Linked DNA regions of Oryctolagus cuniculus. The main gene of each other region encodes a partner of the protein of the gene in region 2 in a complex. Links are inferred from orthologs where the notes say so. Each region holds a gene or a part of one and is shown on either strand. Other genes may lie near its edges.

Evidence for each region.
Region 1: the proteins of TFDP1 (region 2) and E2F5 are in contact, whole or in part, in a crystal structure (PDB 5TUV), measured with the Homo sapiens proteins. The link is inferred for Oryctolagus cuniculus from reciprocal best matches to the Homo sapiens genes TFDP1 and E2F5. Residues at the interface, in NP_009042.1 of Homo sapiens: Glu201, Cys202, Leu205, Glu208, Arg209, Arg212, Leu213, Arg215, Ile216, Lys219, Gln220, Leu223, Leu226, Ile227, Gln230, Phe233, Leu236, Val237, Arg239, Asn240, Arg241, Arg249, Pro253, Ser255, Val256, Ile257, His258, Leu259, Pro260, Phe261; in NP_001942.2 of Homo sapiens: Val126, Arg129, Leu130, Lys134, Glu136, Ile137, Leu140, Glu141, Glu144, Leu147, Asp148, Gln150, Lys151, Leu154, Gln155, Ser157, Ile158, Val161, Met162, Ile166, Asn167, Asn168, Arg169, Phe170, Ser171, Tyr172, Val173, Thr174, His175, Asp177.

The regions. Positions count from the first base shown.
Region 1 is NC_091437.1:110,691,536-110,701,321, reverse strand, and holds part of E2F5 (transcription factor E2F5), read right to left. Parts: exon of another isoform or gene 9,198-9,786; coding exon of another isoform or gene 9,079-9,197; coding exon 8,917-9,078; intron 6,001-8,916; coding exon 5,957-6,000; intron 4,686-5,956; coding exon 4,621-4,685; intron 2,884-4,620; coding exon 2,616-2,883; intron 1-2,615.
Region 2 is NC_091440.1:498,129-508,448, forward strand, and holds the start of TFDP1 (transcription factor Dp-1), read right to left. Parts: upstream 5,339-10,320; 5' UTR 5,257-5,338; intron 5,246-5,256; exon of another isoform or gene 5,107-5,245; intron 4,911-5,106; exon of another isoform or gene 4,887-4,910; intron 4,514-4,886; exon of another isoform or gene 4,492-4,513; intron 4,277-4,491; 5' UTR 4,216-4,276; coding exon 4,204-4,215; intron 1-4,203. UniProt on the Homo sapiens protein: Can stimulate E2F-dependent transcription.

The sequences.
Region 1 (9,786 bases), on a different chromosome or scaffold from region 2:
CTGTGCTTGTATAATTCTAATTGTGATACTTCTCTGGTCAGAGATCTTCACTGGCTTATTGGCTGACATCTTAACTCGTTAGTCTGATAGTCAAGGCTTTCTCAAATCTGGCCCCAAGTTACTTTACTCAAGTTTCCAAACATAGTATCATAAACAGAAACTAAATATCCGGTTCTCTTTAAGTGATCTGTGGAAGCTGATATTGATAGACTAAGCTAAATGAGAAAGTTACCCACTTTATTCATCCCAGTTAGACCTTAGATTATAGGTATTTTTTTTTATGAACATGTCCATTTTGTCCATTTATTAACAGCCATGTAGGCTTTTTAAAGAGCAGGGGAAAGGTGCGTTACCTCACTCCGGGGAACACTGACTATACGACAGAACCGATACTGGTGCCAATATGCCTCTCTAATCAGCTTGAAGGGCGTGTAGCTTTCCAGGTGGGCCTAATGGGCCTGGGCCACACTGGGGAGCAGTTTACCTGATTGGCAGAAGGCATGGATGGGGAGAAATGTGCTTGGGCTCAGGCTAACTGCTGGGGTTGCCCTAATCCCTCTTCTGTTTTAGGTGAGTATGACCCTGCTTAGCATGGCACAGCAACATGCTGCAACCCACAGTAAGCTTTGAGTTAAACTGAAGGGTACCTAGCACGGGGATTAAGGCAGGGAGGAAAAAGAGCAAAGGGAAAAATGGCCGGGCCCACCATGTTTCAGGCTTTTCTGACTGGCAGGTGGGTGAACAGGTGTGGTCAGGCAGGGTCATGAAATTGTAGAGGGCGCGGGGACGTGGTGAAGGCATCTTCCGGCTCACAAATCTGATCCTATACACCTGCCTAGAACATTCCCCTTTCAGACTCCATTCCCTTAATCCTAAGGGGTGATGGAGGGAGCAGAATCATCACGTCTTCTATAGCTGCTTCCTGCTTATGAGGGGCGTGGTGCAGGCCCTGCCTGTCTTGGGTCTGGAAGTCTCTCTGCCTGTCTCCTCTAACAAATTTGCCTTGTGAGCTGGAGTCCTTTCGGTCCCCTGCATGGCCAGTTACTCCTAGATGTTGAGTTCTGGGAAATAAAATTTGTTAATTAGCATGAGCTTTTTAAGGACTGAACTTTCTGTTGTGTACCCCTCTGCCTACAGCATGGAAATATTCCTAGGGAAAGGAAAGAAGGGAAGGGTATGGGCAACAAAGATCCATGTCCAGTTAAATCTTTTCAGCTTCATTTTTAACTACCGTGAACTCCCAGAGTAGCAGCAATGAAATACATTCCATAGGTAAAGATAAAGAATTTGGGGGCCAGCATGTGGTGTAGCAGGTAAAGCTGCCATCGGCAGTGCCTGCATCCCATAAGGGTACCGGTTTGAGTCCCGGCTGCTCCACTTCCGAACCAGCTCTCTGCTATGGCCTGAGAAATCAGTAGAAGATGACCCAAGTTCTTGGGCCCCTGCACCTGGGTATGAGACCAGGAAGAAGCTCCTGGCTCCTGGCTTTGGATCGGCACAGCTCCAGCCACTGTGGCAAACTGGGGAGTGAACCAGCAGATGGAAGACTCTCTGTGTCTGCCTCTGCCTCTCTATAACCCTGCCTTTCAAATGAATGAATAAGTAAATCTTAAAAAGAATTTGGAATATGTACTATACAGTTGTTAATGATCTGCAGTGTGTCATCTTTATTAACACCATCATTCATTCATTCATTCATTCACTCAGCAGTCGAAAGACTCTGTACCATGCTCCCTTTGTTTGGAATCAGTAAGGAGTTGCTAAATGCCAACCGTTGGAACCAGGAGAAATAATTGTGTGCCAATGAAACATTTATAAATTCAAGAATTGTGGTACCTACTCCGCATGCCCAATTTTTAGTGTTTTGATTATTTGTCATTTCATAGATGGAAATAATATAGGAAAGCAAGATATCCTAAATAATTGGAGTTGGGACCATTTATCCACTCATAAACTAAGTTTCTCAACAAAATATAACAAGGTAGGGAAAGAGGCATGAATTCTATACTTTTTTGTAAGGGCAGTTACAACAACACGTTTCAATCATTTATCCTATACTTATTACGAAATAAAAAAGCCTTAGAAAGGTGAACCTCAGATAAAAGCTAACATGTGAATAAGAAAGAAAAGGCAACAAATTTGACTTAGCTAACCAAGAAATAGAATCCTAAGGAAAACAGCCACCTTTGGCCCATAAACATCTTTCCCTTGCTAAGTATTCACTGTTTAACACACAGTCTCAGCCACGTTACCTTGTATCTGGTTATTTCTGATTTGTGTATTTCACAAATACACATACACACATATGGGGCAGCCTCAAAAAGTTCGTGATAATGAACCAAAAAGATGCATTTTCCATGAACTTTTGGAACCTCCTCTCACAAATACAAATCTACAGGATTGTAGATAGGATCTCTTAAAATCTTCCTCATATCTATCCCAGTGCTATAGACACTAGAGTAATACTGTTGAAAAAACATTGTACTATTTTGCCTCCTGTATTAGGTAACTGGATAGTATCACCAATGACAAGTTCAGGAAAGCTTTCCAACTCCCTTCACACAGGATTCATATATTTTCCCCTCTAATCTTTTAAACAAAGGACCTGAACCTACCTGAGGCTATGTCTGTAGCTGGTGTCTGCTGGAGACTCTGGCTTCTTTCAGAGGCAGGTTGCTCAGGCGGGTGCTGAGCTGCCACGGTGGATTTCTGTGGGGTCACTGGAGTGGAGGACTGGGAAGAAGGCTGTGTGAGGTCATCAGGTGGGGGAATGGGAAACACCACGGGCTTAGATGAATTGGATTCTTTATTTATAAGCAGCACGTGAATAGGTCCTGAATGACTCTTTAGATTGATCTGGTATTTCTTTTGTCCATTCTGACCCTTTGAAATTATTGGGTATAAACAAGAATAATTATTAACATTTCTAGCTACCTTGAAACATGAAAAACAAGATAGGCAAAGCTTTATTAAAGACTAAATTCACACGACAAAGTCATTAAGTCAAAATACAAGTGTAGAGACCAAGAGCAGAGTGGAATACTGTAGGGTCTACAGTATTCTAAAACATTTGCCCATAAATAGTAAGCTTGCCTCAAATTCTAATTATAAAAACTTTCAGCTGTAGAATCCTGGCAACTATCTGCTTTGTGTGTGCTCATGGCGCACTGCAAGTATTCTTTGTACATGAACTTCCATCCCTGGACTTGCCCATGGTGAGTGTGTTCATCTCAACATGCTGTCTTAATTTATAGCTACTTCACAAATCAAAACTCATTTCCATTCGGCAAGTACAAAGACAACTGACTTTTTCTACAGAGATGTAAGGATAAAACCCTTCCATTTCAAGAAAAGTAATTTGTGTCCTGGGGCTTTAGAATTTAGTGATATAAATAATAATGCCTAAATACAAACCAATAGGATGGGTGAGAGGTCAGATGATACAGTTATCTTTTTCCTTTTTTTTTTTTTTTTTTTTTGGTTGGTAGAGCTTTAAACTCAGTTTTGGGAACTACAAACCTAAACACTAAAATTATGACATATATAGCACAGAATTAGTAAAGGTCTTTAACTCAATAACCCAGAAAACATTTTTTAAAAGACCTAATTTAAAGCAATTACTTGTTGATATTTAAGTTGAACCTCTTCCTGTAGGATTTTTTTTTTTTAAAGATTTTTTTATTTATTTGAAAGGCAGAGTTACAGAGAGGCAGAGGCAGAGGCAGAGAGAGAGAGAAGTCTTCCAACCACTGGTTTACTCTCCAGATGGCTGCAATGGCCTGAGCTGGGCCGATACAAAACCAGGAGTCAGGAGCTTCTTCTGGGTCTCCCACACAGGTGCAGGGGCCCACGGACTTGGGTCATCTTCTACTGCTTTCCCAGGCCATAGCAGAGAGCTGGATTGGAAGCAGAGCAGTTAGGACACAAACCGGCGCCCATATGGGATGCCAACACTGCAGGCAGTGGCTTTACCTACTACATCACAGCGCCACAGTTGCAGCCCCAGGATTTTTTTTTTAACAGTTACAGATGTAGTCATTTTAATTGATTTTTAAAGATTATTGTAAACGTCATTACTCATCCCTTGATATCCTCTAGCCCTAATAAGGTCAAATTAAAAACAAAAACTTGGGGCCAGTGTTGTAGTGTAGCACATTAACCCACCACCTGCAACACCAATATGGAGTCCTGGCTGTTCCACTTACTATCCAACTCCCAGCAAATGCATCTGGGAAAGCAGCAGCAGATGGCCCATGTGCTTAAGCCCCTGCACCCATGTGGGAGACCTGGAAGAAGTTTCTGGCTTCTGCCTTTGGCCTGACCCAGCCCTGGCATTTGAAGCCATGTGGGGAGTGAACCAGCAGATGGAAGATCTATGTTTTTCCTTCTCTGTAACTGCCTTTCAAATAAAAATAAAACAAAAACTTGTAAAGAAAACATCAAATAGTACATTTATTCACTTCAATAATTCTACCAAAGTACAGGAGACAAATTCAGATATTAAAACTTTCAAATAATGTGCAGTAACTTAAAATTGTTTATAAATAAATAGCTCACATTGAGCTAAAGAAAGCATCTCTTGAGACCAACTATTTTTCCCATTGATACGGATTATCCTACCATTTCTGGAATAGGTACTTCCAGCTGCGTACCAGAAGGTGCCTGAATGGCCAAAAGTGTATCACCTAATCAAAAACACAAATATAAAATATATAGTAAATGCTATTGATCATGGAATACAGTGCCAAGAACATGGGCTCTGGAGTCAGAATGTTTGGGTCTAAAAACCAGGCTGGGTGACCTTAACTTTTAAATTCTGTAAGGGGGATACACGATTTACTGCACAGGCTCATTTTGAGGATTAAAGGAGATAACTTATTTTAATAGCTCTTAGGACACAGTAAATACTCAATGTTAGTTCTACTATTCTCATTCATAAACAGCTCAAGTTGATTTTGCTTTCAGTTTACCTCCTGTAAAAGCTATGGTTCTTTAAACTGTTTAGCCTCAATTAAATAATAATGTTTACTTGAAATATTTAAACCACTTAAATGATTTATGATACTGGAGATTAGGTGAGATAGCCTGAAATCTAGAGGGTAGGTGAATTTATTCTTGAAACCCATGCCTATAACAGATCTGTTGGGTTGCAGGTTAAAAAAACTTTCCTTCAACTTTCTTAGAAAGCTTGGGAATCACGGTGGAAAAATACAGCAGTGAGTTCACACATATTTCCAGCAGTCTTACCTGAAAAGCCAGACTACATTTGATAAGAGCTCTTGCCGGGATTTTTTTTTTTCTTTTCTTTTTTTTTTTTTGGTTATGGGGTTAAAACACAGGGCTGTCCTTTTACTAGAAGTATGCTTTATTAAATAAAAATGTGTGTAGGCTTTCATTTTACTTGTGTTATAATTACGAGAATTTATTCCACCCCCCTCATTTTTAAAATTAATACTGAACACTGTCACTTCAAGGGGAGAAAAATGAGGAAGGGGATGGAATAGGATTAGGAAGAACTTTCATGGTTATAAAAATCAGCCACCTAAATTTTCCCTATGTTTTGGATTGCACTATGGCCAACACACTTGGCGTATATGGTTGCAAAAATAGTGCTCCTGAAAGGCGTGCTCTGGTTAAGGACTGGCCACTGATTCTGGCTGTGAAGCTGTTGCTGAATCCTGCTCTGATTTCTCTTCCTCTCTGCTGCCTCTCCACCTTCCCCTCGCAAGCTCAATTTATGCCTACCAATACAGGTGATGAAATGAAAGCTGTCAAAGCAGTTGTTGTGATAAAAACAGAAACAAGAGTAGCTATCAATACACAGCACTGCAGAGTGAGACAAATGTCCACAACTCCTGAAAATAATGACTGAGGCTGAGGGTATGTGGAATCTGAATCACTCTATATTTAATAAGCTGATCAGAGGAAACATGAGAAAAAGTCTAACAGTACTTACCATTAAAGCAATTACAGATGTCTTCATGAGTTACATAGGAAAATGTACTGTCATAGGAGTTAAGGAATAGCATTTGTATCAAGGTCTATGCATTTAAATTAAGGTAATATATCTGAAGGCCAAAAATAACTAAATAGCCAAATGCATGAAGGGGCTACACATGCCCAGTTTAAAAAAACAAAAAGCAAAAGCAATCAAAGATCCCTAGGAGGAATACTGAACCTCTGCTCTGAAAAGAAGCCATTCTGATTGCCGTGATACCTTCAGACCCTTGGGAGAGAGGGAAAACAGTGCATTCCTCATGGAGGCATGGGCTTCTGGAGAGAAGTGATGGACAGGGGAGAAAGAGGCCATCAGCAGGAGTGGACAGCAATGACCTTCCACACTGAGCATCTTCTTGGGTCACTGTTTTGTGTTGTTTTACAATATGCTCAGAGTGGTACAGCTATGGAGAGGCTCAGGAAAACAATACTCACTGGTCCTGCAGACAGAAGGGATGCAGGCCACACATGAAAGACACCAGAGTGGGCACAAGGCAGAAGACAGGAGTCAGGGAAAGCATTAAGCCAAAACCCAACTGGGGTTTCCATGGAAGAAAACAAGGCAGAGTAGGGTGAACACTTCAGAACTGATTGATTTGAATGGTTTTGGTGGGTTCTAAGCTTCAGGAATGGGTTCTGTCTGGTATCTGGCCATGGGCTGATTAAGGCAGAGAAATACTGCTTCCTGGGTGTAAGGGCACAGAGAGGAGCATGGCTCTGGAATGGTTACGCTGTGTATCGAAGACCTGCTGCTAGCTGGACCTTTGATACTTCCAAAGAATTGGCTACCCCAGGGGGCAGGCTCTCCCCAGCCAGAAAGGTGTTATGAGATTTCAGAGCATAATACACAGAAAACTGTGTGTGTATGCGCTAATATACAGAAAACTAAGTGTGTGTGTGTGTACGCGTATGTGTGTGCATAAAACATACACAAGGTATCTTCAAAAAATTCATGGAAAGTGCACATGATTAATTATGTATGGATTTCTATTTTTTTGCGCCAAAATAAACACCTTTTAATTCCATATTTCTAAGAACTTTTTTAAAATTTTTTTTTAATTTTTTTTATTTTTTTTTGACAGGCAGAGTGGACAGTGAGAGAGACAGACAGAGAGAAAGGTCTTCCTTTGCCATTGGTTCACCCTCCAATGGCCGCCACGGCCGGCGCACTGCGGCCGGCGCACCGCGCTGATCCGATGGCAGGAGCCAGGAGCCAGGTGCTTTTCCTGGTCTCCCATGGGGTGCAGGGCCCAAGCACCTGGGCCATCCTCCACTGCACTCCTTGGCTACAGCAGAGAGCTGGCCTGGAAGAGGGGCAACCGGGACAGAATCCGGCGCCCCAACCGGGACTAGAACCCGGTGTGCCGGCGCCGCAAGGCGGAGGATTAGCCTAGTGAGCCGCGGCACCGGCCTTCTAAGAACTTTTTAAAGGTCCCTGTGTGTGTTGTGTGTACCATTAAGATTTGGGGAACTGGGAATGGCCAGAATCCTGTAACGCTGAGCAGCACAGTCTAAGTCAGCTAGTTCAGGGTTTTTGAATCTTGGGGCACTACAGGCCACAGCTTGAAAATCTACATGGTTCTCAAACTGTTAGGAAGCTTCGAGCCATAAAAAAGGGATTAGGAACTAACTTACCAAATCCATGACAACATGAAAAACACAATATTGTATATGTTGGTCAAAAATTCATGAGAAATGGTACAAGATAAAATGTGGTTAAAGTCTCCATAAGAATGAAAGGGGCTGGCGTTGTGGAGTAACAGGTTAAGCCTGCAATGCCAACATCCCATATGGGCGCTGGCTGCAGTAAACTGCTGCTGCTCCACTTCTGATCCAGCTCCCTGCTAATGGCCTAGGAAACCAGCAGAGGATGGCCCAGGGACTTAGGCCCCTTCACTCACATGGGATACTCAGAAGAGGCTCCTGGCTCCTGGCTTCAGATCATCCCAACTCTGGCCATTGCAGCCAGATTTATTTATTTATTTGAAAGGCAGAGTTACAGAGAGAGAAAGAGAGAAGTCTTCCATCCACTGGTTCACTCCCTAAATGGCCGCAATGGCGAGAGCTGGGCCAATAGGAAGCCAAGAGCTTCTTCCTGGTCTCCCATGCGGGTGCAAGGGCACAGGGACTTTGGCCCTCTTCTACTGCTTTCCTAGGCCACAGCAGAGAGCTAGATTGGAAGTGGAACAGCTGGGACTCGAACTGGCACCCATATGGAATGCCGCCACTGCAGGTGGCAGCTTTATCCACTACACCACAGTGCCAGACCCAGAAATAAATCTTAAAAAAAAAAAGTCAAAGTGAATTCATAAACCAAAAGAATTACAAGTATCTAAAAGAACAGAATGGTTTAGAAGAAACCCAAGGAGTATCAGTGTTTTTCCCTAATATAATGTGATACATATGCAAGCCGTGGTCTCCTGCAGTCCAGGAGAAGCTATCTTTAGGCTAATATGGACAAAAAGCACCTGTGATTGACACTGAACCCATAGTATTTCCTCTTAAAACCAAAACTGATTTTTCAAACTTTGAAAGTTGCTGTTTTTACTATTTCAGAACATTCAACATGATTCTTTAAAAATGCCCATGCACTTAACAATGACTTCTAACAATCACAGACCCCCCCCCAAACACTCTTTGGTTAGCATATTGCATCATACCAATGGGTAGACTGAAGGTATATTAATCGTTTTTTCCCCTCAAATGAAACATGAGACTTAATGAAAAAAAAATAGGTAAAATATTCTTATAAATTACTAAAAGTATTATGAAATTGAAATGTTATATTCATTTACAACACTTAACTCTTTAGAATCACTAGAATAAAGTAACTGAGTTTCAGATCGGAAGATATATTATAAATATATATATACCCTATAGCTATATGTACATGTGTAACTAGTTTATTTAAAAGGATATCTATTATTAATGGAGTCATCCATCACATTTTTGATGCTTTGCTGCAGCCACAACTTCTGCTGATCAAGTTCTCTTTCCTTCAGTTCTAAATCTTCAATTTCAGCTTTAAGAAATCTCAATCTATCTATGACTTCTTTAGTATTACAGCCAGCACCTACACCTCTTAAAAACATATGAAAATTGATATCCTCCAAATCAGATCCATTTGCATCACTTAATCTCTGTATAACTGACTTATGCAGTAACATATGAGGCAAAAATCTATATTTTTCTAAAGACATTACAATTCTCACAAAATTTAAACATGATAATTTCTGGATATATTTGCTTACAAAATGTATTGACAACAAACAAATTACAAAAGTTCACAACCTGCTCTAGAGTGCTTTTTGTCACCTGGAGGATCAGCCTGGTGACTCAGGTGCCAAAAGGATGTCAGAGTGATAGGGTCACACCTAGCAGATAAGAGTCTGAGATCCTCATAAAATACATTACAACCTTTCAGCATTTTGGTGAAATTGTGGCTAAAAATAAAGTACTTGGCACATTCAAATATACAACCATGCAACAGTTAATAAATTACGGCTCGCATTTCACTCAATTATTATTTAAGGTACACATTTCCATGTGTAAGACAGTTCTTACTGTCAGGAGTTTCTATCTGTAGGGTGAAAAGTTATTCAGGGGTTTATAATACAAAGCAGTATGTATATGGTGTACGCCAAATGAGTAGCCTGAGGGAGAAAATAAGATCTGAACTTTTTTTTTAAGTTTTATTTTTATTTATTTGAAAGACAGTTATAGAAAGAGAGAAAGAGGGAGGTCTTCCATCCAATGGTTCACTCTCCAAATGGCTCCAATGGCCAGAGC
Region 2 (10,320 bases):
GGCCCTGGCTGTGGCAGCCAGCTAGGGAATGAACCAGCAGATGAAAGATCTCTCTGTAACTCTTTCAAATAAATGAATAACTCTTTAAAAAAAAAAAAAAACGTTATGGGGAAACACTTCTAATTAAGCTGTGGTTTTTCTAATTTTTAATATCGGCTCAGTTTCTCCAAGCTCACCCATGTAGAATGCTCAATTCAGGAGCCAGTGATGTGGTGCAGTGAGTAAAGCCACTGCCCGAGACACCAGCATCCTGCATGGGCGCAGGTTCCTGTCTCGGCCCATCCAGCTCCCTGCTAATGGCCGGACAGCAGTGGAAGATGACCCATATATTTGGGCTCCTGCACCCATGTGGGAGACCCACACAAGAGCTCCTCGCTCCTGGCTTTGGACTGGCCCAGCTCTGGCCATTGCAGCCAATTGGGGCTTGAACCAGCAGATGGAAGACCTTTCTCTCTCTCTCTGTAAACTCTGCCATTCAAATAAATAAATAAATCTTTTTTACAAAAATAAAGAAAAAGAAAACACGAATTCTGCAACATGAAAAGCTGTCTAAGAACAAGCGCCCTGGGAGACTTCTCCCACGCTGAGCCCAGCAGCTGACCTCACTGCCCCGCACCTCACACACAAAGCCCTCTCCTCTAAGGCTGGGATCATGAATTGGCATTTGTCTCCGGAACTCACCTCCTCCAAGCCTGAAGGGGGCGGTCCCTGCTCCCCAGCAGTCGCAGGCAGGGACCCAGGCCTCAGCAGAGAACCCGGCTGCGTCTCTCGGGTCTCCAGCTTCCAACATCACTATGGAGGGATTGTCCCGTAAACTCCCGGGGCGGAAACCGGCATCACAAAGCGGCCTCCAGAAATGAGACACGGGTGCTGAGAGGGACCCACATAGTCCGGCTCTGCCCTGGGCCAGCATCATCCCCCAGCATCCACCGGGGTTGGTTCCAGGGCCCCAGTGGAGCTCAAAACCCACAATGCCCAAGTCCCGGCTGTAAGAGCTGTGGAGAACTTGCAAAGGCGCCCACAGGCCCTCCAGGTACAGAGAATCTAATACAATGTAAACGCCCTGGGAGGGCGCTCCTCATATTGTATTGTTTAGGAAGTAACAATGGGGAAACCTGTACCTGTTCAGTTCTGATACAATGTCTTCCGAACTCTTCCCACCCGCAGAGGACTCCAAACCCGCAGAGCCTGCAGACCGCTGGACAGATGGCTCTCAGCGCACAGCATGGCTTTGTTGGGGCACACACAGGCTGAGGGGTGGGGCAGCACCCTGACACAGCCCCACAATGCACATTCACGTGTATCCTCCCTCTCCACCTGCAGACTTTCCTGAGGCCAGCCGAGTGCTGAGAACACAGCCTCGCCAGAGGGGCAGCAGGGAGGGAGGCCCATGCCTGGCCCCTCCAAGGGCTCACTCCTCCGGGGGCAGGAAGCATGGGCTGTGACCTCCAGAGAGAGCCCTCACCTTTCCCTGCCACGGCCCCACCCAAGGCCCCTCCCGGGCCAGGTGCCTCCGCTGCTCCCAGCCCCTCTGCAGTGTGCTCTGGGGAACGGTCCAAGCACCTGCTGCCCCCCTGGTGAGCAGCTGGGCAGACCCTTTAGGGTGACAGCTTGGGAACTTGCTCAGGCCGCGTGGACCCCCAGCGTGAACACAGAGGAAAGGAAGGGCTGACCCAGGCCCCTGCTGTCACTACGCAGGCTTGGGAATGAACGGTTCCCCTAACATGGAAATTCCTGCCCCAAATGCCCATAGCAGAAGGCGACTCCCTCCTGTTCAATTTCTGGGGCGAAATGAGACTCGGGTCTCCGTCACTTCACTGTGGGGGCTGCTGTGTCTCTCTTCCAAGTCCCCCTCCACACAGGGCACCTCCCTGGGACATGTGTCAGTGCTACTCCATAAATGAATGTCAGAGGCAAAACCCAGGGAGGCAGGGCCCAGCACAGACACGGCGCCTCACAGGAAGGGACGCGTCCCTGACACCCTCCCTCCCCTCCCTGCACCCCCGCACCCATTTCCCTTGCATTCTCAGAGCCACAAGGATCTCCAAGCACCGGAATCGCTCCACAACGCGACAGCCCAGGGAGCGGCCTGCTTAACTGCACCTGGGTGAGGGGCACACAGACAGCTCACAAGAGAAGTACCCTGATGCGGGTACCTGCAACCGTCACACACAGGGCTGTGTGCAGACACGGCTGGGAGTCACAGAGCTCCGTGTTTATTACAAGACAACGGCAAGGTTTTCACCAGATTCCTTTCACATAGGCACGTATTTGTATTTAAGAACCAGAAAAGAGGGCACAAGATGCATACCCACGAGAGAAGAGACAGGTCGAGTGCCATCTGCCCAGTCCTGTGCCAGCCCCTCAGGCAGCCCTGCAGGTGCCAAGTGCATCTCCTTCCTGTCGGCCCTGATGTACCCGTCACCCCGGAGCAGCCACCACAGGCTGTGGCCAGCACGCACCCTCCCGGCCCACGGGCCCAGAAAGGGCTCACAGGATGACGAGGACGAACAGAGACCATCGTTCCTCACACACACCCCAGAGGCCACACAGAGGCCTGTGCGATCAGAAGCTGCTCATGACCGCAGAAATCACCGCATGAGATGAGCAGGGGGCACCAAAAACTAGCTTAGGGGCCCCCAGCGGGCTCTGGGCCCCTCAATTCACACCAGAGGGCCCACTCTGCAACAACCTCATCAGGCAACCTGTGCACAACACAGCCACTGGCCCCCCACGGGCCCTCACCCTTGCTGGTCGCCCATCCACCCTCCAGCATCACCTGCCCACAGCCTCCATTTCCAGCTTGTCCCCGACACCCTGACTTCTTGTCTGCAGAACACGGAGGCCACCCTGCCATTCTGCCCTGCCAGCTGCATCTCAGCCCGTGAGACCCTGCCACCGCCTAAGAGCACGTGGATGACAAGAAAGCAGCGTCACCAGCCACGGGACCAGCACAGCCCTTGTCTGTAGAACACGGAGGCCACCTTGCCAGTCTGCCCCACAGCCACTCCTCAGCCCGTGAGACCCTGCCACCTCCCAACAGCACACACTCCGAGTCCTTCAAATGCAACGATGACCAGCTAGGGGGCCAGCACAGCCCGTGCCCTGGCCCGGCGACCTTGCTGGGGTGGCGGGGTCCCCCTCCTCCAGCACCTGTCTGTCCTTCCCTCCCACGCCTCTCTCCGTGCCACACAGACGGTGCCAGCCACACCAACGTGGAACCACAAAGGGCTTCGAAGATGACATCAGTGAGTATCTAAGCATTTAAAGAGACGAGAGCAAACTGGTCCAGAAACCAGAAGCATGCGGCTGGGCATGGGTCTGGCACCACCCTTTCTGGGCAACTGTGGGAGTCCAGCTGCTTCGGGGCACCTGCCACATGTTGGCACCTCCAGGAGTGATGGCACCAACCAAATGACAGCAGTTTTAAAATGAACATCAAACCAAAACCCTGCACACAGCGCCCGGAGGGCTGCGCGCCTCCCTGCGCAGGCCTGCATCCGAGGACAGGGAGCCCCTGACCGGCACAGACAGAGGACGCGGCTCAGGAAGTTCGGGAAATCTGAGCTGACAGAAGGCGCTCCAAAGCCACCCAACCTGCAGTCGCGCACAGAGGCAGCAGGACCAGCCTGCTTCCAGCTCTATGCAGGAGACGAGCACGCAGCCCGTCTGCACCAGTGTGCAAAGACCCCGCGTTTCAGGGAATCTGACGGCATGATGGGAAACTCAGTTCATTCTTGGACCTAAGAGCCTATTTCTCCACCCAACTTTAAAAAGTTACCGAGAAGGGGATGGTATTGTGGCACGCAGAGGGTTCAGTGGGCACCTGCAATGCCAGCATCCCATAGGAGCACCAGTTCAAGTCCCGGCTGCTCTGCTTCTGCTCCAGCTTCCTGCTAATGCGCCTGGGAGGGCAGAAGATGGCCCAACTGCCTGGGCCTCTGTCATCAGGCTGGGAGACCCAGATGAAACTGTTGGCTTTGGCCCGACCCAGATGTGGCTATGTGGCCATATGGCCATCTGGGGAGTGAACCGGCTAATGGAAGCTCTCCCTCTGTCTCTCACCCTTCCAAATAAACAAACCAACCTCTCTTAAAAAGCCAGGAAATACTAATAACTCAGGTTTTGCCCCTCTGACAAAGGCACAAACAGGAGGGGCTGGTGCCAGGCACAGGTGTTTGAGCATTAAGCAAAGGTACTCACATCTTTTGCCATGTTACCAGGTCCAGGAAACCAATGCTATCAACATTCACTCTCCAAGGAAGAAAAGACTTTTCTGGTTAAAAAAAAAAAAAAGAGAGAGAAAAAAGAAAAATGAGCAAGGATGAAAAACTAAGTTTACAAGATGTCCCACTTTAAAGGAGACGTCTCCCCCGCCTGCACGAGGGCCTGGCGGCTGAGATTTCTCGCTAGAGCCTGGACGCAAGGCTCTCGCAGCGCTCGCCACCCTCAGACCCCGCGAGCAGCCCGGAACCCCCCCGCCCCGCGCACCCCAAATGGCCGGTCCGGAGGCGAGACCGCGGTGAGCCCGGGGCGCGCTGCCCGCCTCCGCAGGGTGGGCTTGGGTCCCCCACTTAGGCGCACACGACCACCCAACAGGGCACAGCCCAAACGTGCAAGTTCCCAGGTCTTCCCCCGGACCCTCCAGGGGCTGCGCGCCGGGCTGCTCGGCCGCCGACCGGTAACTCTGACAGGTGGGCTCTCGGGTCCCCGCCCGCTGCGATCTGTCACTAGGCCGCAGCCACCGCGCGCACTCCAGCCCCGCGGCGCCTCCCGCCCCGCCCCGCGCGGCCCGGCCCCGACCCCGACCCCGACCCCCAAGGCGCGGGCGCGGCCATCGGCCCCGGAGGCCAGGCCCCGTACCCCCGCCCGCCCCGCCCGGTCACCTGGGAGCCCCCGCCCGCAGCAAGGGCGCCTGGCGCGGGGCCCCGGCGCCCAGGAGCGCGCGGGGCCCGGAGGGCGCGGGAGGGCCGGGGCCGCGCGGCGCCCGCACGCGGCGGGGACGCAGCTCGGGGGCCGCCGCCCGCCCGCGCCCCGCGTGGCCCGCGCCCCGCGCTCGCCCGGCCCCGTCGCGCCGGCTCCCACCGCATCCTCCGCCGCCCGCACCTGGCTCGCCCGGTATGGCCGCGCAGTCTGGGGCGCGGGCCGCGCGGGGACACGGCCGCGGGGCGCGGGCGGGCGGCGGGGGCCGGGCGGCGCTCCCGGCCCTGGCGGGGTCCCTGCCCTGGGCCAGCGGCGCCGGGACGCGGGGCTCACCCTGGCCGAGCGTCGGGCCGGCGTGACGTGCGCGCGGCGCGGTGACGTGGGCGGCGGCGGGCCCGCTCCGCGCAGCGCGCCTGCGCGCATTTTCGCGCCTTCGGAGCCCTCCTCCTCCTCGGCGCCCTCCTCCTCCTCCGCCCCTCCTGCTCCCGCTCCTCCCGCCGGCGCTGCCGCCCTGGGGGAGGGGAGGGCCGTGCGCGCGTGTTCGAGCCTGCGCGTGCGCCGGACGGGATGGAGCCAGCCGGCGCTAGGGATGCGCGCGCGGGTCAGAGGGGCCACGTGTGTGCGCGCATGAGTGTGTGTGTGTGTGTGTGTGTGTGTGTGTGTATGCACGGAGCGAGACTGTGGGAGGAGACCCAAGCTGTGTGTGCGCACACAGAGCTGCAAGGGGGCCGGGGTGGGGGGCAGAGCTGGAGGCGAGACATGGGTGTAGGGGGTGGAGAGGAGGCACCTGCAGGGCAGGAGGCCAAGAGCACTTGCTGTGTGCATGGAAAAGGGGGCCAGTTGTGTGCTCGCCTGTGTGCATGGGGCTGGGGCTGCTGTGTACACCAGTGCGTGTGCACAGGGAGGAGAAGGGGTCAGGTGCAAGTGTGCACGTGGAGGAGTAGCAGATGGAGGCAAGCCAAGCGCGAGGGTGCCGCACAGACCAGGGTCCTGGGCGCGTTGGTTTGCATGGATGCAGGGGTGGAGGCAGGCGCTGAGCTGGCGCAGGTGTCTGGGCAGGGAGGGGAGGGGAGGGGAGGTCTCCAGCCCTGCTCCGCATCCCGGCGGCTTCCTCACAGAGTCCCAGCGACTCCACACCTCCTGGGCGCCAGGGCAGGCAGCCTTTCCACGGAGAGTGGAACTGGGCCCTGCCCTGCAGACACAGCTGTCACCTAGGGCTGGCGGCAGGCTGTGGAGGCCGGTCCCGAGCCCAGGCTGCACGGAGTCCCACACAGCCATAACAAGGGCTCTCCCACCCTGCACCCCTCTGCACACCTCCAAGTCCCACCCCATCCACACCCACTGCACCCACTCCTGCCCAGGAGAGCCCCACCCTGGCAGCCTGTCCTCTGTGCCAGCAGTTCGGTTTCTTTGTGGCAGAAACCTTCCTGTCTGGTTAGCACACAGTAGGTCCTTAGAGAAGGTTGATGGGGCTGGGGGGAGCGGTGTTTGGCCCAGGGATGAGGACACTGATCATGTCACCTGAACCCCACAGGGCTTCAAGGCCCAGCTCTGCCTCTGACCCCTAATCTGCACCCTTGGAGGCAGCAGGTGATGGCTCAAGTACCTGGGTCTCTGCCACCACATGGGGGACCTGGATGGAGTTCTTGGTTCCTGGCTTCTGCCTGGCCCAGCCCTGGCTGTTGTGGGCAGACTGAAGATCTCTGTCTCGCACACTCCTTCTCCCTCTGCCTTTCAAAGAGATAAGTAGAATAAGACAGCTCCTGACTCCAGTCGTGGGCGGCAGTGCTGAGAGCCCAGGAGCTGGGTGCCCACCACCCACGTGAGTGCCCTGCTAGGCTGGTGCACAGCCACGTGGGCATCTGGGAGTGAGCCAGGGGTGGGGCAGTCCCTCCCGCTCTCCCTCCGTCCCCCCGCCTCTAAGATCAAAACCCTAAAATCCTCCTGTCCCGGGAAAGCCTGTGTTCCGTGCAGTGGGATCGCGCCGCCGCCCGCCAGTCCCGATTTGCAAGTGTGTCTCCTGCATTCTGTCCTCAAAAGCCGTGCGTGTTCCTCGCTCTTCCTTTCCCTCGCTCTTCCTTTTGTAGGATCTTATTTTTCCCTAAACTCGGGTTAGGGACTCTCAGCAGCAGCGAGCCCCCTCCCAGCCTCGTGGAGCGGCCTGGACAGCAAGCTTCCCGAGCCCACAGGCCGGGGTGACCCACGCTGGACTCCAGGGGCCCCACAGCAGCGGCAGCTCCTCGAGGACACCCAGCCGCCAGGGAGCCTGCCTCTCGCTAACAGTCGGCGGCAGCTCCCTCATTCTGGGTGGCGGGTGCAGATGTCTTACAGGGCCCGGGATGCAGCCTTGAGCAGGCCGACCCCACGCCCTGCGGTGAGCTGACCCCTGGGCACACTGCGTCTCTGAGCCTGGCCGTGCAGGAGGCCTGGTCTCGGCGAGAGCCGTAGTCGCTGTTGAGCCATCCCATCCCAGGGGCTGGTGTCCAGCCCTGGGTGCACACGGGCACCATGCCGGCTGAGGGTGCCGGCCACGGCTCAGAAATGCTGGGCTCTGCGTTTTACCAGACGAAAGTGACAGGCGCTCCTCTCCCACACGCTCTCGGGTCTGCCTGCCCTGCAGGGCTCCCGGCTCCTGAGAGAGTGAGCGAGCGAGGACGTGGGCCAGAAGGCGCGGGCCTGGGCACACTGGAGAGTGCCCACTGCAGCAGGGCTGGGTGAGGTGCCGGCTGGGAGTGACACAGGCCACCCCTGCCAGGGCCGCCAGCACTGTGGACGCTAGGCCCAGCTGGAGCCTCCAATCGGCCCAGCACCCTCCAGTGCCCTCGCTTGGGCCCTGGGGCTTCCACCGGAGAGGTGATTCCTGTCACGCCAGCAGGGAGCAGAGCAGTTTCCCGAGCCAGAGGTGCTGGCTCACTTCACTGGTGCGCTGAGGGTGCATGAGGCCATGCTGAGGACGGGAGGCAGCAGGCGTGGTGGACAGGGAGCTCCTGGTGTGCAGGACGAGCTCCGAGCACCTGTCACGGGGGAGCACCTGGGCCTGGCGCCCACGGGAGAAAGCTCCAGGCGGACCCATGCTGTGCCCGAGGAGGTGCTGAGGACCCCACCCCTCCCTTCTCTCTGGCTCTGCCCTCCCTCCACGGGGGCCCGACCTCCGGGGACAGCACCCTCAGGGGATGCTGGCCACTTGGGGTCAGACGACGGGGAGGTCAGAGGACGGGAGAAGGGGGTGGGGAAGGCCGCCCTGCCCTCTTCCGGCCTGGTCTCCATGCACAGCCCTCAGGTGTGCAGCCTCCTGGGCCTGGGGCGGTGCTGGCTTCCTGCAGGCCCTCGGCCCCCTCTGCTGGGCCCCTGGCTGAAGAGGAAGGGAGTGGCTAAGTGGGTTAGCAGTGAGGCAGTCAGCAGGTGGGGCAGAGGCCAGGGCCTGGGCTCCAGGAAAGCAGAGAGGAGGTGGGAGTGCCCTGTGGGGGCGGGGAAGGAAGATGGCCTGGCAGCTCCTGGGAGAGGCAGGCGCAGCCACGGTGAGGGACGCGCGCGTCTGGGAGGGAAGATGGGCAGTGGGACCCACGTGATTTCACTCAAGTCCAGCTCCTCACACAAACCCACCTACCGCGCCACTCAGGGCGAGCTGCTCGACCCTCCCCTCCAGTTACCTCACCAGTTAGGAAGCCCCCGACCCACGCCAGAGTGCTGGGTTCAGATCCCGACGGCAGGCAGCTTCCTGCTAAGGCATCGGCCCTGCCACCCACGTGGGAAACGGGTTCAGCCCCGGTCCCTGTGGATATTCGGGACTGGCCGAGTGGGTGGCCGCCCCACCCCCGCCTTTGCCTCTCAGATTTAAAACAATGCTCTCCTCTGATACAGAGTGGATTTCCTCCAGACCTGGGTTTGCCCGTCCATGACGAGAACACGAAGGTAACGGTGGGAACATTGACGAGGGTGACTCTCATGAGTGGAACCAGGCCATCGGCTAATCCTGAGGCCTCTCGGCCTGGCTGCTCCTGGCTCATGAACTCATGACTGCCTTGGGCCAGCTGTCCCCGGCCCCGCAGTCCCCAGCTCAGGAAACGAACTCCACTAGCCACAGTGGGGTGCACATGAGTGTCCCCAATGTTCCACGCTGACCCCACAAGAGCCGTGTTAGTGGGCGGGGTCACTGTGGTGACTGGGTCTCAGGATGGAGCTGAAATGGGACTGGGGTCTTTGTCAGAAGCCAGATTCGCCTTTGCCCTTTCCACCACAGACAGCCCAGCAGAAGAACACTGTCCACAAACAGCCAGCGAGTCCCACATGGACACCTGCCAGAACCTCCCGGAACCCTGGGAGTACATGCCTGTGGGTTATCCGCTGCCCACTTACAGTCAGTTTCTCTTTGCTGCAGTCCCAGGTTTCCTAGGAAGTTTAGGGCACAGCAGACTCCAAGGGCTCCTCGTGGGTGCTGAGTGCGTCCTGGGCTCCCTTCTCGTCCTCACGGGTCTGCTGATTGCTCCTCCTGTCACAGAGCTGACCTCGCTGCCTCCCACTGTCCATGTTTGCACTGTACACGGAAGCCCTGGTGCTTGGTGGTACAGACATGAATCCTTTTAAAGATTTATTTATTTATTGACGAGAGCCACAGAGAGACAGAGAGAATCGAGATCTTCCATCCTATGGTTTACTCCCTGGACAGCTGCAACAGCCAGGACTAGGCCAGCAGCCAGGAGCTTCTTCCAGGTCTCCCACGTGGGTGCAGGGGCCCAAGCACATGGGTCTTCTGTTGCTGCTTCCCCAGGCCATTAGCAGGGAGCTGGATCATAAGTAGAACAGCCAGGACTCAAACCAGCACCCACATGGGATGCTGGCGTCACAGGCAGTGGCTTTACCTGCTGTGCCACAACACCAGCTCCATATTTATAATTCTTAAGTCTTCGTGGTGAATTGACCCCTTCTAGAAATTTTTAAAATTTATTTATTTTCATTTTATTTGAAATGTAGAGAGAAAGAAATCTTCCATTCCTCTGTTTCCCCCAGACAGCCACGGTTGAGCCCAGGCCAAAGCCAGGAGACCAGAGCTCAATCTGTATCTGCCACATGACTGGCTGCGATGCAAGGACGTGACCCCAGTGGCTGCTCCCGGGATGCACATCAGCAGGGGGCTGGGCGGAAGTGGAGGGGCTGGGACTTGAACAAGGCACTCGGACATGGAGTGCAGGCGTCCCACGTGCCGACCCCTGACCTGACTCATCTAATATCCTTGTCTCTTGTGACAGTTTCTAACGTTACTTAAAAGGCAGAGAGACAGAGTCAGACAGACACCCCCCCCCATCTGCTGGTTTGTTCCTCAAATGCCCCTAGCAGCCAGGGCTGGGCCAAAGCTGGGAGCCGCATGAGGGGCGGGGACCCAGCTACCGGGACCATCGG